Arabidopsis thaliana: one gene and its partners. The protein of the gene in region 1 interacts with the protein of each later gene in a pairwise test. Each region holds a gene or a part of one and is shown in the gene's direction. Other genes may lie near its edges. The genes, in order: RACK1B_AT, SPCH and MKK4.

Region 1 (5,250 bases):
AGACCTTTGCCAATGGTTTCCCTGTAGCCAAACCGCCTGCTTCAGTCTGCGTTTCCATTTCCTCTACCAACACATCCGTGAAGCACTTGAGCGAAATTTCGACTATATTTGTGAATTCAGTGCTGCAACAAGAAAGACACCAAGAGATAAGTTTATTCCCCACAATCATCCAAGAGTGTAAGAAAGAGGAAAAATTGTGTGTTTATCTTAGCAGATAGACATTACTTACCTGATGAGTACTTCTCGAGTCTCAACCATGAGTTGATGAAACTTGGACACAGCTTCATCAGAAGAGTCACTTGTGGTTCTTGAAAGCTTTGTGTCTTGAGGCATCATTAAATAATCAACCCAGTGATGTGGGCTTCCAGTGCTCATAAACACATCTACAATCTGCATCACGGTTTCTTGAAGAACTCTTGTGGTAATTACATCCTTTAACTGCTTTCTGCAATTAAACACACAAAAACATATTAGAGTTTTTCCAACAATAGTCAAATTATAAACGATCTAGATACGAATTTTTGCAATGTACCCTTTAAGGACTTCCTCGGCTGAACCCTGCATATCTGAAATCAAACTTGGCATTGCATTGGTGACAAGAAAATCAGCACTCGACAAAAACTTCTGTTCATCATCTCTATCAATGAGATCTACCTCTTCCTGCAAACAAAAAGAAACAAATTTAATAGATACACTGTTGAAAGCTCACAGGGCAAGCAGATCACAGGACAAGCGGCCGTGGCTTTAAAAGGTAATCTGGAACTATATCAAAGAAAGATAGGTGATTCCAGAGTATTAGTCCACAGATAGGTCAAATGCATAATCGTTATCGCAATTAAACACAGCTACTAGAGACATAATTATACAAGTTCTTAACAGAACAACCAGTGAGTTTCCCCGAGAAATAGCTTGTTGGGGATGAGATAAGCAAAGTACACTGAATCATACTTGCGAGCAAATGAGAGCAGTAAAGAACATGTGCAGTATCGTTTAATAAACAGCAAATTCTCCAATACAGAGAAGAGGGGAAGCATATTATCTTACAAGTAAATGAGAGCTGCCAAGAGCTCGAGCGGTGTCAACATACAAATGTCTGCCTAAAATGTTGACTTGAACCCTAATGTATAAGCTAAGCATTGTCACAGACCACAGAGACAAAACCATCCTCGTGAAACCTGGCAAATAACATGAATATACAGGTAAGAAACAGAATTTGATAGAGTAAGAGTAGGTGACTGCAGTGCATACTCAAAATCTTGAGCTCATCCCAGAGCTGAAGTTTCTCAGGTGGACTCAGCATTCCTTTCCCTTGGTTCAGTCTGTCCATAACATGAGAGACATCGATCTCCTCGCTGATACGGATACTCAAAAACTGCATTGCGTGAGGCAGTGTGGTCGAATCCACAATCATCTGAATACTCTCGAAATGTGCTTTCATTCTAAACAAGAGTACAAACAAGACAGGTCCGTTAGAGAATCCATAAGAACTGAAGTCTAAAGGATCAGTTTTTATGAGCACAGAACTTAACTGGGTTTTGATGATTTCGTCATTTTCACGCTCGTGAGCGAGTTCTCGTTCCAAATCAGCAAGCCTACGAGTATGGGAATTGTATAGTTTGTAGAGTAAATACCCACTTCCCAAACAACCAGCCGTCACCAAGACCTTCCTTCTATGCTTCCTCCAAAAACCCCTAATTTATTCCACAAGGTATTGAATCAATTAAAAACCCTAACTTTATTCACCAAAAACCCTTCCTAAGGAATTGGAATTAGTGTGCTAGAGAGAGAGAGATAGAGAACGCAAAACACTAAATTTCGAATTTTCACGAAAACAGTAAGCAATTACAAAGAAAGATGAAGCGAACAAGAACCTAACGAAATCCATGGCTGGTGAAGCTTTTACTGAAGTCGAACCCAGAGATACATAGCTGAGAAAACACGTAGAAAGATGAAGATTCCCGAATTGATTCGTTCGGTTTGAAAAGGAGATAACTTTGCAGGCGAGAGAAAGAGATGGTTGATGTGATCGATTTCAATTTAATCAATCACTTCATCTTTTTCTTCTCCGGAATTCGGACATGTAAAATTATATCTTCCACAGGGACAGTCGAAGTTGTGTTCTTAGTTCTTACAATAAAAGTTGAAATGGCCAAACTCGGTTTGTTTACTTTAATTGAACCGACTTTTGAGTCTATTTCAATTTTTGACAATAACTTCTCGGTAGAGTTCTCATGGGGTTTGCCCAAAAGAGAGAAAAAAAAGTTGTCATGTCATGTACTCATGTGGTTATCAAATTGACTTGTAACAAGCTATACCAATTCTGGTTAAGCGTTCCAAACAGAAAGATATAAATCTCGGTTCCATAATTGTCCCAACATGAAACCAAGTTGGGTAGAATACCGGGCCTTAATGCTGGCCCAAATGAAGAGACCCAAACTATTGACAAATGAAAACAAAGAACCCTAATTATCTCTAACTATAAATACTCTCGGTTTCTCGTTACCTCCATTTTGCCCTCTCCCATTTTTGTCGCCGAAACCCTAAATCTCGACCTCAAACCCTGAACCATGGCTGAAGGACTCGTGTTGAAAGGCACAATGTGTGCCCACACTGATATGGTCACCGCCATTGCTACACCGGTCGATAACTCCGACGTGATTGTAACTTCGTCGCGTGACAAATCAATCATCCTCTGGAAACTCACAAAGGAAGACAAGTCATACGGTGTTGCTCAGCGGAGGATGACTGGTCACTCTCACTTCGTTCAAGACGTTGTTCTCTCCTCCGATGGACAATTCGCTCTCTCCGGATCTTGGGACGGTGAGCTTCGTCTCTGGGATCTCGCTACCGGAGAATCTACTCGTCGTTTCGTTGGTCACACGAAAGATGTTCTCTCTGTTGCTTTCTCTACCGATAACCGTCAGATCGTCTCTGCTTCTCGTGATCGTACGATTAAGCTTTGGAACACGCTTGGTGAGTGTAAGTATACCATCTCTGAAGCTGATGGTCACAAGGAATGGGTTAGTTGTGTTAGGTTTAGTCCTAATACTCTTGTGCCAACTATTGTATCTGCTTCTTGGGATAAAACTGTGAAGGTCTGGAATCTTCAGAATTGTAAGCTTAGGAACACTCTTGCTGGTCACTCTGGTTACTTGAACACTGTGGCTGTGTCACCTGATGGTTCGTTGTGTGCCAGTGGTGGCAAAGATGGTGTGATCTTGCTTTGGGATTTGGCTGAAGGGAAGAAGTTGTATTCTCTTGAAGCTGGCTCTATTATTCATTCACTTTGCTTCAGTCCCAATAGGTACTGGTTGTGTGCAGCAACAGAGAATAGCATTAGGATTTGGGATCTCGAGAGTAAGTCTGTTGTTGAGGATTTGAAGGTTGATCTTAAGGCTGAGGCTGAAAAGACTGATGGTTCTACTGGAATCGGAAACAAGACCAAGGTATCTATTTCTCCTCACTCTATCTTATGGTTAATTGTCTAGTTCTAAGTTCTGTGAATTAGTTAGCCGTTGCCTTAAAAGATGAGATTTTCATAAAGGAAGGTCTGAATACTCTCATGTGAAGTTAGTTCACAAGATTTGATTGGTACGTAAGAGAGTAGCTAACATTAGATTGAGAAACCTGGTTTTAAGTTAGCTCTAGTCTCTGATTTCTTAGATTGTAGTGTCTGAAGTGATTCCATATTGATTTGTTGGTTACTCTTTGGTCTGAGGTGGTTTATATATGTTCTAATGTGGAATGTAAAATGCAGGTGATCTACTGCACAAGCTTGAACTGGAGTGCAGATGGAAACACTTTGTTCAGTGGATACACTGATGGAGTTATCAGGGTTTGGGGTATTGGTCGTTACTAGAGAGACAAGAAGTTTCTTTATTCTCTCCAAATTTTTCCATCGACTCTAAAGTCTTCTCTTCTGAATTAGTGTTTTGAGGATTTATTTTTTGTTCTTTTCTATTTTCAGAATCCACAAATGTGATATTTTGATACATTGATTTTGTTTCATATTTGTTTTCTTACACTGAGTCTGAGTACACGGCGTAGAATCTGATTTGAAGTTGTTACTTGTATCCTCTAGAAAGTAGAAATGGCTTTAGGTTGATGACTAACTGTATAACAGCAAGAATTTTTTCTTAGGAATCTGAAAACTTCAAGGAGTTATTAGCCTTTACTTTTCCAGTGGTTACATCTTAACTACAACACGAACCCTTTCAAAAGAATCTCTAAACACCAATGCACCAACCAGTTTATCTTTTTGTACTTAATGATATTTGGTTTTCCATCTCTTACTCTACCAAAACTAAGAGTAGTCTAAAGTGTAGGCGACAAGGCCATATGTTATACGAATTCTCAGTTAACATGAACCGAATATAGCCCATATAGAATAGTTCTTGACCCAGACGCTTACCTCCATACGGCACAGAGTCTCTGATAAATGGGTCTTATTAGCATTAATTTTGTGTGTAGCCAAAGGTTGAAACTTGAGAACTTCTTCATGCTCAAAAACACCAAATGAGGTAAACCATGCACGAGTCAATAGTCAATAATCAAAAGTGCAATCAAGATTGTTTTCACTGCTTTTCCGAAGAAACCAAGACCCCCTATGACATGTTTCAGCATCATAAGCCGCTCAACAAAGCAATGCTTAATTGCTCTGTAAAATTTTTCATATTTCTTATCTTTTAGATATTCTACACCCAATACCCAAGTCCACGTATATAACAAGATCTTAATTAGGCTCCGTAGGCTTCGACAACATGTCCATTTTATATCATGCTTTTTTTTGTAGTCCAAATAAGCTAAGGTTGATCAAGAATGGAACATCAAACTACTAAAACTATAGATCGTTTAGCTCTGCATGATTTAGAGAAACCGCAGCAAAACTATTTCTATCGTCATTAGATGATATAATACAACCTTTTGCACTAATTTAGGCTTTGCAAATTTGAGAAAAAGAAATATAGACTTTATTATATTCTGTTTTGTTAACAAATTAGGCTAATCTACCTCATATTGGTTACTCGGATACTTTCTTCTCAAATGCGACAAGTCTCAACATGTTTCGATCAAATAGACGTGTTTCTATACTGCTTTGATGTTTTTTTATGTTCCCTGGTGCAGTTTCCTTGATTTGGACCGAACTTGGAACATAAGAGAAAACATGTCGCCTACGATATGGTTCTGCATGTTCTCCAAGATCCAATTCTCTAAAGTACCCCGCCTCGCCAATGATGTTGATTGTTTTGC
Region 2 (6,631 bases), on another chromosome or scaffold:
TCGGATATATGTACATCAGTACATGCTAATAGTTCATAACTTCACCACCGTGACCATCTAGAATCCCCAACTAAAATATCCAACTATAATTTAAAAATAAATTTGAAAGTATATCCTATAAACGTTTTACAAAACCAAAACCGAAACAAGATCATCACTGCGATAAGGAGATGTTGTGTATATATATGCTTATACTCCATCATACATGCATCCATGATTTCACATACATATACATGATGCATGTGGATGAATGAAGAATTGTAGAATCTCGGGCACGGAGAAGGCGTGTCCGGTCATTGAAAGCCGCCCACCATCTTTATTATATTTGTTTCCGAAGTACTGATCTTTCTGCTCAACTTGCAGATTTTGATTTCTGCGCAACTTGCAACTTTCTCATTCTCAGTTTTTTTCTCTGAATAATTGCTTCAAAAGTCAATTATTATTGTTATTATAAAAAGGCAATAAATTTCAGAGTAGTCATATATTCATTCTTTTAGTCTGTCGAGTTTTTGTTTGTTTGTTTTTGATTAGTAATCATCGGAACCAACTCATGACACGACTTCTTAATCGAGACTGCAGGAAGAATATAATCAACGTTTTGTTATGTCATATAAATAAAATGAATTTATGTCAATCTCTTTTTTGTTGTTGTAGTAATGTAACGGGCAACAGTGTTATAGAAATGTAGATTTTGATTTGCGAAATAAATAGAGCAAGACAAAACTGTACGAAAATTGAAAACATGTCATAGTCTCCATAAAAGGGTATCTATATATCCGTATATATATGAAATTGAATAATACCTTGGATCCGAGTCATATCAAATTAATATCCTGCATGCATGAATAATTAAACTTTAGTTACATTACTATGTCCGCTAAATCAAAATCACTGACAAATATCTTGTTTATTTTGTACAGTGTAATAAGTTTGTCCGGGTTGGTTAAAATCGAAAATTGAATTGGGATTCTTAAAATCTATTTTGTTTTAAGATCAGTTTGGTGTTTGACAAAAAAGAAGAAGATCAGTTTGGAATGTGTCACATAAGAACATGTAATTAAAAGTAATTTTCATCATTATATAAGCATTGCATTAAGAAAAACATAGTTTTTTCTAATTGCTGATGTTTCATTAATTTGGGCTAGAAACAAAGCATAAAGGAGAAGAGACCCGTTACTAAAAAGACATGGTCAGGTAAATAATATCTGACAGCCAACTCATTAACTTCAAACCTAACGACTACCTGGTTTGTCTTGGCTCCATCTTCTTAAATTTTCGTTTATTTTCTAAAACATTTGAATGGATTATCAAAAAAGAAAATGTCAAGCAATATTTATATTTATGTACAAATATTTCAAAAACTTTTGAAAGGGAAAGTTCAAATGAAGGGTGGCTCCTCAAGATGCAATTTGATTTTGATGAGACAAAATGAGGCACGTCTAGTATGACATCAACTATTTATTGCCTTAGATCTATCCCTTGTCTTTTGTTTTCTTGAAAACAAATTCGTTTGCTCCCTGTATCAATATAAAGATTAACTTACAAAAGAGGTGATATATATATATATATATACACATTATATCCCATCTTATTAATAATGCTTACTAATATTGCTAAATTCATATTCTATTTTGGGTTGGTTTTATAAGAAATTGAATTCTTATGCCATCTCATCAGGTGTTTATGAAATATGTTAGGGATCCAGTTGAACTGAACTAACATTACTAAATTGAATTAATTAAATTGTATGTATGGCTCGGGAAAGAAGAAGGAACGGATTTTCTTTCAGAATTGTGGAATCGAATTTTGTTCTTCTTTTTGGGCTTAAATGTTGGTTAGATTACACCATGACATAAACAAAGGCCAAAGTATATGCTTTAAGTGAAAATCTGTATTTTTAAATCGACTGGCGATAACATGTCTGAAATTGGTCTATCAATCATAAAAAGTCTCTAAATATGTATCTTTTTATTTTTTGAATAATGAATGATCTATAATGTGAATGTACAACACATCATTCAATTGATTGTCTCACGATTGAGGCGCTAAAATAAATGTGAACTCACTAATTTCAAATGTTTTTTTTTTGTTTGTTTTTTTGTATATATATATACTTGGAAACCGGGATTGGTCGGACCATATTCGCAACCCGAACATATACGTAAATTAAATACAAAGAACGTACATGTCCGTGTTTATGTGTATTACATGTTTGTGTGTACAAAAAACAATTATACCGAGCTTGTGATTATTCAAAATTTTACCCCCATAAAAATCTTTTCCTAAGGAATTTATGTATCTTTCCCTTTGCAATATGCAACCTTTATCTCTGTAATATAAAGTATACAATAAGACGTACCATATATATATATGTAGATGCATATTTATATCTAAAACATAAATGAGACACGAAAAACCTAGATCCTCCCCCAAATTTCATCCAACGGCACAAACCGCATAATAAATAACCCTATCAAAATATAATAATAAAAATTGAAATTTGATAGCGATAGTTTAGTCCTCGATGAATGCGAGTCCCTCATATTTACTCCTTTTGGCATTCACTCTCTTTATTTCTCTTTCTCAACTTGATATGTCTTTTGGCGTCTCTTTCTTTCCCTAAATCTTTCTTTTATTTTGCTGTTTAAAAAAAAAATCCAACCATAAGACAAAACAACGAACGAGGAAGAGAGAGAGAGAAGGATATATCTCTAATCACGATGCAGGAGATAATACCGGATTTTCTTGAAGAGTGTGAATTTGTCGACACTTCACTAGCCGGAGATGATCTATTTGCCATCTTAGAGAGTCTTGAAGGTGCCGGAGAGATATCTCCGACAGCTGCATCTACACCTAAAGATGGAACCACAAGTTCCAAGGAGTTAGTTAAGGATCAAGATTATGAAAACTCATCTCCTAAGAGGAAAAAGCAAAGACTAGAAACCAGGAAAGAAGAGGACGAAGAAGAAGAAGACGGAGACGGAGAAGCAGAAGAAGATAATAAGCAAGATGGGCAACAAAAGATGTCTCATGTAACCGTGGAACGTAACCGGAGAAAGCAAATGAACGAGCACTTAACCGTTTTGCGTTCTCTTATGCCTTGTTTCTACGTCAAACGGGTATATTCAATACATCCATAGATTTTACTAGTCAGTATGTGAGTTTCTGGTAGTGCCCGACTAATTAATACTATTCGTTCAACTAATCTTTTTGGTATACCTAACTATCATATTCATATATCATTTCTTAGTAACATCAAAAGTATCATGCATATCTATGTTTTTTTAGGAATAATGACAATTATAATGACATTTTGGTCCCACTAATCATCTCTTTTTCTTTTCTTTCTTTCATGTCACAATGAGATATATAGAATGTTCATATTGACTTATATTTTCTTTATTTCCTCTTAAACCAACCTATTAAAAAAAGGGGGACCAAGCATCGATCATAGGAGGAGTTGTGGAGTACATAAGCGAGTTACAACAAGTTCTCCAATCTTTGGAAGCCAAGAAACAACGTAAAACCTACGCCGAAGTCCTAAGCCCGAGAGTTGTCCCGAGCCCTCGTCCTTCACCGCCTGTTCTAAGCCCAAGAAAACCGCCTCTTAGCCCGCGCATCAACCACCACCAGATTCACCACCACCTACTTCTCCCTCCCATAAGTCCTCGAACACCTCAGCCAACAAGCCCATACCGGGCCATTCCACCGCAACTACCACTCATCCCACAGCCTCCGCTTCGCTCTTACAGCTCATTGGCCAGTTGCAGCAGCTTAGGAGATCCACCTCCATACTCTCCTGCTTCATCTTCTTCATCTCCTTCAGTTAGTAGTAACCATGAGAGTAGTGTGATCAATGAGCTTGTTGCTAACTCAAAATCGGCTTTGGCTGATGTGGAAGTGAAGTTTTCAGGAGCTAACGTGCTGCTCAAAACGGTGTCGCATAAGATCCCGGGACAAGTTATGAAGATAATTGCTGCTCTTGAAGATTTGGCTCTTGAGATTCTTCAGGTTAATATTAACACCGTCGACGAAACCATGCTTAATTCTTTCACCATCAAGGTACGTACGAATAATCATCCTAATTAATTTTCACTGACTTGTTTTTTTTGTCTCTATTCATAAGTGTAATTCATACATTTATTTTCTTACATAGGATATATGGTGGGGGAAGAAATGGGTAGGGTAGTGTAATAAGTAATAATTCATTGAGATTCACATAAACTCATACACACTTTCGATATATATGAAATTTAATGTATGATTCTAATCTACATTATATATATATAGATAGATATATATATCATTATATAAAACGTAGGGTATGTGTATGTCAGATTCCTCACAAACATACAAAACTAAACTGTTCGTTGTTTTATACTACTTTTACTAAAACTCTTCTCTAATTTATACATTTGACTTTCTTAAAAAAAACGGTGTGAAAGAACACGTGTTTAAATATTATATAAATTATACGTGAACATTGAAGAGCCCCCAAAATCTTCAATTTTAAATTCGAAAGGAATTATTCTATATATTTGGAAATTATTCAAATAGATCAAGCTGCTGAAGTTTATAAGTGTCAAGACTTAGTTTCTATTTTTGATAAGTACTTAAATTTGTTCAATGAAGAATTTCTACAATGGATGTTTTAGTATTGATGATTTGATTATCGAAAAAAACAAGATCAGAGATCAAGTAGGGATACTATTAACTATGTCTCGCAAGTATAGATATTTGGTAATTAAGTTCCTTAGAATAGGTGATTATGTTGAGACGAGAACAGATCTTTTTTTTTTTTAATAATAGTTAAATTTGTTTCTTTTTCGTTGGGAGTTTAGTGCCTCGAGAAATATAGAGCTACTCAGAATGAAATTAATTGAAAACACTTATTTTTGTATAAATTATATTTTTTTTCATATCATCTTTTTTTTTTTTGTTAAAGAACAATTATCAATGTATACTTCTCTATCTTTTTTTCTTTTGATAGATTGGAATTGAGTGCCAACTAAGTGCAGAAGAACTGGCTCAACAAATTCAGCAAACATTCTGCTAGTAAAGAAGGATTTAATATAGCTTCGTATAAACCTTAACGAGAGAGCAGTACGTACTCACTTTCTCTCCTTAGTATCCCTTTAATTATCTTTTCAGTTTTCTGCAAAGATATGGAGTTTAAAAAAATAAAATTGTTATCTAAAGTTTTAATCAAATATTGATTAATTATAACTAATATAGGTATAAGTGAGTTTTAAAGATTATCAGCTTCATAACAGCCATCGTCATGTTTACTTTCTTTTAAATTTTAGAATTTAGACGTACTCCTACCATGTAATTTTATTTCTGTCATTACATCAAGCATTGTAGCTGTAATTGCATATGAATGAACAATAGTGTATGAGTGATCTCATGAATAATATTCTTCTTGCAACACAAAATGTTAAGGGATATATTTTTTTGTAAATAGAAAGAATGATTCTACATGCCGCAGCAAATGTTCTGAAAATCAAAAGAGTGGATGTTAAAAAAAAAAAAAAACTAAAATGATTGTACCTTTTATAAACTCTTAAAAGATGTTCTTTTTGGGTGAAAGTATGGATTATTTTGTCTCAAAAAAAGAATTATGTAAATATATACACATTTATATTGTATATATATATATATTTGTGTAAGAACTAATTTAAATGTCTCGTTTCACATTTTATCAGTAGAATCATATTTTACATCATGTTTGGGATGTGAGAAAATGTTTAATTGTTGTTATGCAACTATGCAAGGCAAGTCTGTGCACAAACTAATTTGGAATATGCAACTTAAACCACAATAAATTCGGATTTTACACAAACTAAGCTTATAATAAAATTATAGCCATGCTCATATTTTTTTGTAGATGTTGCATCCAATCTCAACATTTAGATGCAACATCGAATCATCCATGTTCAACATCAACATATTGTTGGGTTTAAAACTTTTGACTGTGAAACTTCGTGTGGCTGGTTTAGAGATCAACCAAACCCCAAAACTGATGGTGGTGAATATCCCTAGCTATTCAAATTGTAGTTTGTAGATATCCGATTTTTTTTTTTTTTCCGTCACTTTGTAGATATCCGAATTATCAATACATTCTCTGAAATGGATAGTCCTAACGCAGTGTATCCACTACTGGTGAACTTACAACTGGGCTGTAAAAACTGAAATTGGGCATTTTTTATCGGCCCATAGTTTTACCTTTACTTGTATTGGTCGAGTGACGTTGATAATCTGTCGTACCTTGTTAAATAATGGGCTAAAATAATTGGGACACTATTGGGCCTAAAAGCTTTAACTAAGATTGTGATTTGTGAGTTTATGTGAAACGACATATAGCTGAAGAATTGAATCGTTTGGTTCGTAATCATGAAAATCATATAATGGAAAATTCTATCCGTTAAATCCTGTCCATGAAAAGTTAGTTTTAGACGCAAACCGTCCGTTCATTAGTCGTTTACCAATGAGAATCACGTTTTTTAAATAGACGTTTAGGATGATCTCATATAGTACTTTTTATCGTGTTGGTAGAAAGTTTTCAAACTGATAATTTTTTGTATGAAAGGCAATACTATATATAGATTCTTTATTTCTTAAAACGTTTATA
Region 3 (5,522 bases), 1.2 Mb from region 1:
CTCCATCTCACTCTTCAATAAACTTCTCATTGCTTTAAGCCTCTCAAGTCTCTTTGATTCAGCCATTGTTTTGCTGCTTACTCAGTGGAGGAGGATATGATTGTTGCTTCAACAACTATATATGGATTTGATAACAATCCTTTATCCTCGGAAGATAAACCAAATTTCTTACCAAACCCACCAAAATAAGTAATTACCAGTGTTCTTCTTCTAAAGACTTCTATAAACCAAAACAAGATCACATATAATCATTAACTTAAAGCAAAACCCAAAGTCTTGTTTTATTTGTTAGTCAGCTCAACCATCTTTATCTGAAACTAAACTGTTTCTCTCTTCTTTGTTTCTGACAAGTCAATGAGATTGGTGTCTTCTCTCTGTTGCACATTTAATATTAACTTTTGAAAAACTACAAAACGAAACAAAACAAAGAAAAGCAGACATTTACACGAAATTATGCAGACATATACACGAAATTCAATCTACCTGAAAATGAGAATAAGTTTTGAGTAAATTTCGTGGAGACTCCTGGAAATAAGTTTGTTTGTTTTCCTATTTTTATGTAACTTCGCTTAAATTTCTAATTGCCTAATCAAGGTATTAAAATAGCAAAGCTTGGTTTGGCTCAGTCTTCGCGTAAACTCCAAGAAACAATCATAAAAACAAATAAAAAAGACAAGAAACCAAAAAAAAAAAAAAAGTTGAGAGATTTCAGTAGATGAAAGTTGGATAGAAGATTCGTGTAGTTAGCTACTTAATGGGCCGTTAAAATATTTAATAAGGCCCATTGGGTCTAAACTGTGTTAGGATTACTAGGGCACAGAATCGGTCTCTGTCCCATTTCGCGAACTTTCTCCTTAGAATCGGAACGGACGAAGAAGGAAGACAAGGAAGAAGATCGGAGATGGCATCGAATGCGGCGGTTCCGTTCTGGAGAGCGGCGGGGATGACATATATATCGTATTCAAACATCTGTGCGAATATCGTGAGGAACTGTCTCAAGGAGCCACACAAAGCTGAAGCTCTTACTCGCGAGAAGGTTCACTTCTCTCTCTCCAAATGGGCTGATGGAAAGCCCCAGAAACCTGGTAAGCCTTTTCGATCCTTTAATCGTCGATGTTGGATCTTAGATCTGGATTCTTCACGTTCTTGTGTTCTCGATTCCTGATTTGTTTTTGAGTAATTTGTTGGAATAATCTGATTTCCTAAAAGTTATCGGAATTAAGTGGAAAGTGAATCATCTGCTTCTGGATTTGATCTTCGATTTTGCATTTAACCTTTCCTCTGCTTCTGGATTTGATCAGTTCAATACTATCTTCATACAATGTTGTTATGTCCAAATTGTTGAATTTTTCATTTAGAGTTAGCTTCAGAGAAAACAACAAAACTAGTAGTATGTGTGAAACAAGAACATGAAGAAGATGGAAAGCTGATTGGGAACATTGCATTTAGATGTCTTTTCTCGTTTATGTTTGGATCTGAATTCTTCATGTTCTTGTTGTGTGTCATTGAAATTGTTGGAATACGTAGATATCAGAGTAGGTCATTTTGGGAAAGCTATTGAATTTAAGAGGAAGATGAATCATTTTAACAAGCTCCATCGATTTTGCGCTTAATCTGTCTCTCTTCTGCTTCTGGATTTGATTAATTTCATTCTATTTTGTTTTCTCATAAGTTGTTGTTATGTTCAAATTGTTGAATTTGGAATGATTTCATTTCTCAAATAGGGTTTACTGAGACAATGATTCCAGATTTAGTCTATCTGAAAATGGTTCAGCTTTCTTCTTGTTGATCCATTTGTCTAACATTCTCTCATGTTTTTGTTTTTCCTTGACAGTTTTGCGGTCAGACACACCTGAAGTTTGAAGTCAACTTTGAGCTTATGTTCTTAAGGGATTCAAAAGTAACTGAGTTACCAAGATTTGTTTTCTTTTTATTGTCAACAATGGAGCTTGAGTGAAAAACTCATTTCCGATCATAATAATGACACACTGAGTCTTGTGTATCTCTTTTCTTCTTTTGCTATTCTGTTTCACTTTTTGTATGCGAACAATGAAAAAAAGCCTTTAAAGACTCTTCTGGCTAAAGACAAGTTCTTTTGATTGTTACAGAACAGTGAGAATAGCATAAAACTAAGCACATACGTGGAGAATCAATACACTGTCAGAAGTTGAGAGAAGACCATACTTAATATTAAACATGAGAATATACAAACTGATTTTCTGAATCATGTATTTTGAATCGCAGTACGCATATTTGCAGGTTAGACCATCTCCAATGTCACTTTTACGCGTTTGTTTGATTTAAATTCGATTTCCTCTTCTTGGTTTATATCACAAAACCAACAAAACGACACCGCGTAAAGTCTGAAAAAAACTTAACAGAGCCAGAAGTGCCCAGTGAACCAACCACACAAAGTCACAAATGGTTTCCGTGCTTGAAAGTGATCCTCACGCGCTTTACACATCGCGTAGATACCTTTTTCTCGATTTTAACAATTTTGCTATTTATTTCCTTTTAATTAATTTTCTCAAAATAAAAATTAACGTTCCCTTTTCAGTGTCCTTTCAATTTCTTTCGACGAAACTTCATTTCTCAATTTCTTTTGATTTTGATCGCTTCGAAGAACGAATCAATTTAAGCCTGCCACAAACAAACCCTAGAATACGACAACGCACGACGACGAAGAAGTCGAAGAAGACTACTACTATAAACGACGAAGATCATTACTTCAATCTTCAATCGAGCTTTTAAATTTTCAGATCGTAGAAGAAAATCGAACTTTTGATTCCAAAAGCGATGAGACCGATTCAATCGCCTCCAGGAGTTTCCGTTCCGGTGAAAAGCCGTCCCCGTCGCCGTCCTGATCTTACCTTACCGCTTCCTCAACGCGATGTTTCTCTCGCTGTACCTCTTCCTCTCCCACCTACTTCCGGTGGTTCCGGTGGCTCTAGTGGATCTGCGCCGTCTTCTGGTGGTTCGGCGTCTTCAACGAACACTAACAGCTCCATAGAAGCGAAGAACTATTCGGATTTAGTGAGAGGTAACCGTATCGGAAGCGGAGCAGGTGGAACGGTATACAAAGTGATTCACCGTCCGAGTTCTCGTCTATATGCACTTAAGGTGATATACGGTAACCACGAGGAGACTGTGAGACGTCAGATCTGTAGAGAGATCGAGATTTTACGAGATGTGAATCATCCAAACGTTGTGAAATGTCACGAGATGTTTGATCAGAACGGTGAGATCCAGGTTTTGCTTGAGTTTATGGATAAAGGTTCTTTAGAAGGTGCTCATGTGTGGAAAGAGCAACAATTAGCTGATCTATCTCGTCAGATTCTTAGTGGTTTAGCTTATCTCCATAGCCGTCACATAGTTCATCGTGATATCAAACCATCGAATCTTTTGATAAACTCTGCTAAAAACGTTAAGATTGCTGATTTTGGAGTTAGTAGGATCTTGGCTCAGACTATGGATCCGTGTAATTCATCTGTTGGAACCATTGCTTATATGAGTCCTGAGAGGATTAACACTGATTTGAATCAGGGAAAGTATGATGGTTATGCTGGAGATATTTGGAGCTTAGGTGTTAGCATTTTGGAGTTTTACTTGGGGAGGTTTCCTTTCCCTGTGAGTAGACAAGGTGATTGGGCTAGTCTTATGTGTGCCATTTGTATGTCTCAGCCTCCAGAAGCTCCAGCGACTGCGTCGCCGGAGTTTCGGCATTTTATCTCGTGTTGCTTGCAGAGAGAACCGGGGAAAAGGAGGAGTGCTATGCAGCTATTGCAGCATCCTTTCATATTAAGAGCAAGTCCGAGCCAGAACAGGTCTCCTCAGAATCTACATCAACTCTTGCCTCCTCCTCGTCCTCTGTCCTCGTCTTCTTCTCCAACCACATAGCGTTTTCTCTCTTCTTCCCTTCATCAACTCATATTTTTTGTGTTACTACTGTTCTTGAGTCTGTTGTCCAATTTTTTGCTAATCATGGAGGGTCTCTGAATTTTACATTTATTAGGGAGTAAAAAACTCGAGAGAGGGTTTTTGGGATTATTGTTTTCTAGAAAGGTAAAAGAGAACAATGATAATATTCTTATGCTTATGATGGTGCATGTATCCCCAATGTAGCTTTGTTGAATTTTCATAAAAGTTTTTGCCTTGGTTTTTCTTTTGTCATTTATGCTCGTCAATTTTGCATCTTGAAGACGAAAAGGACCGTTTCGTTTCCATTCTCGGTGTTTAGTTTTGTCATTGATAAAATGTCTCCTTGTAAAGCTTATTACCATCATGAAAAAGCAAAATATACGGATCGTAGAATCGTTTCTCAAACCTAATCAGGTTGATGTCCCAGTTTAGAACATCCTTGGAAGAGTTTAAGACAATTCCTCAATCCGAGAGAGCAAAACGACTGTGTTTAGCAAAGTGGGTCTAATTGAAGAAAAGAGGAACTTGGGCCAGCTAAAGATAAAGCCCAATGTTGAAAAGACGTCGTCTAAGGCACAACAACGGTCAAACGGTCATCTCCAAAGTTGGAAAACGACAAGAAACAAAAACACAGAGCAGTGGTGATGAATTGAAAGCTTGTACGGAGAAAGTAGCGATTCTCGCAGCCATTGATACGATTTGATGACAGAGGATGGTGACATCTGTCCTATCTCTAGGGTTTTTCGAGTCACCCATACTCTTGTCTATAAATACTAAATCCTTTAGGTTCCTTTGGTTGCTTCCTCTGCTTGTGAGTTTTTCTTTGTAAGTGCAATCAGTGTTACTCTTTAGAGTTTTTTTCTAAGTTGTTGAGATTTTTGTAGCTTGCTTTGGTTTGTCACAATTTTTGCTTATGCATTTGCCTTTGTAGGAGCTTTTAGTTACGTTTTAGGGTTTTTTTTTTTTGTTACGGATTTTGCTTGCTTGTGCATTTCCTTTTTCAGTGTGATTAGTGAGTAGTTACGTTTTAGCGTTTGATCCTTCTTTATTTTTGTCATTCTTTGGTAAAGAAGCATCACACTGGCTCGATTTAACCACAAACTCCTTCCTCTGTTTTTTGTCATTGATAAAAATGTCATCTTTTTACTATTTCAGTGTGATTAGTGAACAATGAGGAGCTTTTGGTTAGGTTGTTAGCGTTTAAACTTCATTTAGTTTGGTCACATTGCTTCGATTTAGCCACATACTCATCGATCTGTTTTTTTGTCATTGATAAAAATGTTTCTTTTTGCTATAACTTCGATCCTATTAGGAAGCAAAGGTCCCTCTTGCTTTTCCTTTCTTTCGTGAAAAATCGCTTCACTTTAATTCCCTTGTTAATGTTCTTTGCATTTATTATTCACATCCATTAATGTAGTTTTATTGAAAACTTTGCAAATTTTCAGATGGCACTCCCTCCCTATGATCCGAATTTCACATTGGCTTTTTCATACGGTAGACGCGATAATGTCTTTGAGAATGACCCAGAGCACGGTAAGAACTTGTTACTGTATAGAATTTACTCATAAAAGTATCTCACTTCTTGGTTTTAAAACAGATTTTGA

The links.
Region 2: the proteins of RACK1B_AT (region 1) and SPCH interact in binary tests that used the Arabidopsis thaliana proteins (3 or more experiments, as listed by UniProt).
Region 3: the proteins of RACK1B_AT (region 1) and MKK4 come close enough for resonance energy transfer, tested with the Arabidopsis thaliana proteins (one study listed by BioGRID).

The regions. Positions count from the first base shown.
Region 1 is NC_003070.9:17,980,586-17,985,835, reverse strand, and holds RACK1B_AT (receptor for activated C kinase 1B), read left to right. Parts: upstream 1-2,458; 5' UTR 2,459-2,567; coding exon 2,568-3,446; intron 3,447-3,757; coding exon 3,758-3,859; 3' UTR 3,860-4,200; downstream 4,201-5,250. Other genes in the region: PEX3 (peroxin 3), read right to left, coding at 1-122, 230-445, 533-660, 726-762, 867-937, 1,045-1,175, 1,249-1,439, 1,530-1,691 and 1 more.
Region 2 is NC_003076.8:21,585,031-21,591,661, reverse strand, and holds SPCH (basic helix-loop-helix (bHLH) DNA-binding superfamily protein), read left to right. Parts: upstream 1-2,406; 5' UTR 2,407-2,720; coding exon 2,721-3,119; intron 3,120-3,432; coding exon 3,433-4,062; coding exon of another isoform or gene 4,063-4,089; exon of another isoform or gene 4,090-4,444; intron 4,445-4,990; coding exon 4,991-5,056; 3' UTR 5,057-5,443; downstream 5,444-6,631. UniProt on the Arabidopsis thaliana protein: Transcription factor acting as an integration node for stomata and brassinosteroid (BR) signaling pathways to control stomatal initiation and development. Activates transcription when in the presence of SCRM/ICE1.
Region 3 is NC_003070.9:19,151,779-19,157,300, forward strand, and holds MKK4 (mitogen-activated protein kinase kinase 4), read left to right. Parts: upstream 1-2,544; 5' UTR 2,545-2,796; coding exon 2,797-3,897; 3' UTR 3,898-4,560; downstream 4,561-5,522. Other genes in the region: EXO70G2 (exocyst subunit exo70 family protein G2), read right to left, coding at 1-66; AT1G51650 (ATP synthase epsilon chain), read left to right, coding at 902-1,085, 1,835-1,863; AT1G51670 (uncharacterized protein), read left to right, coding at 5,364-5,451.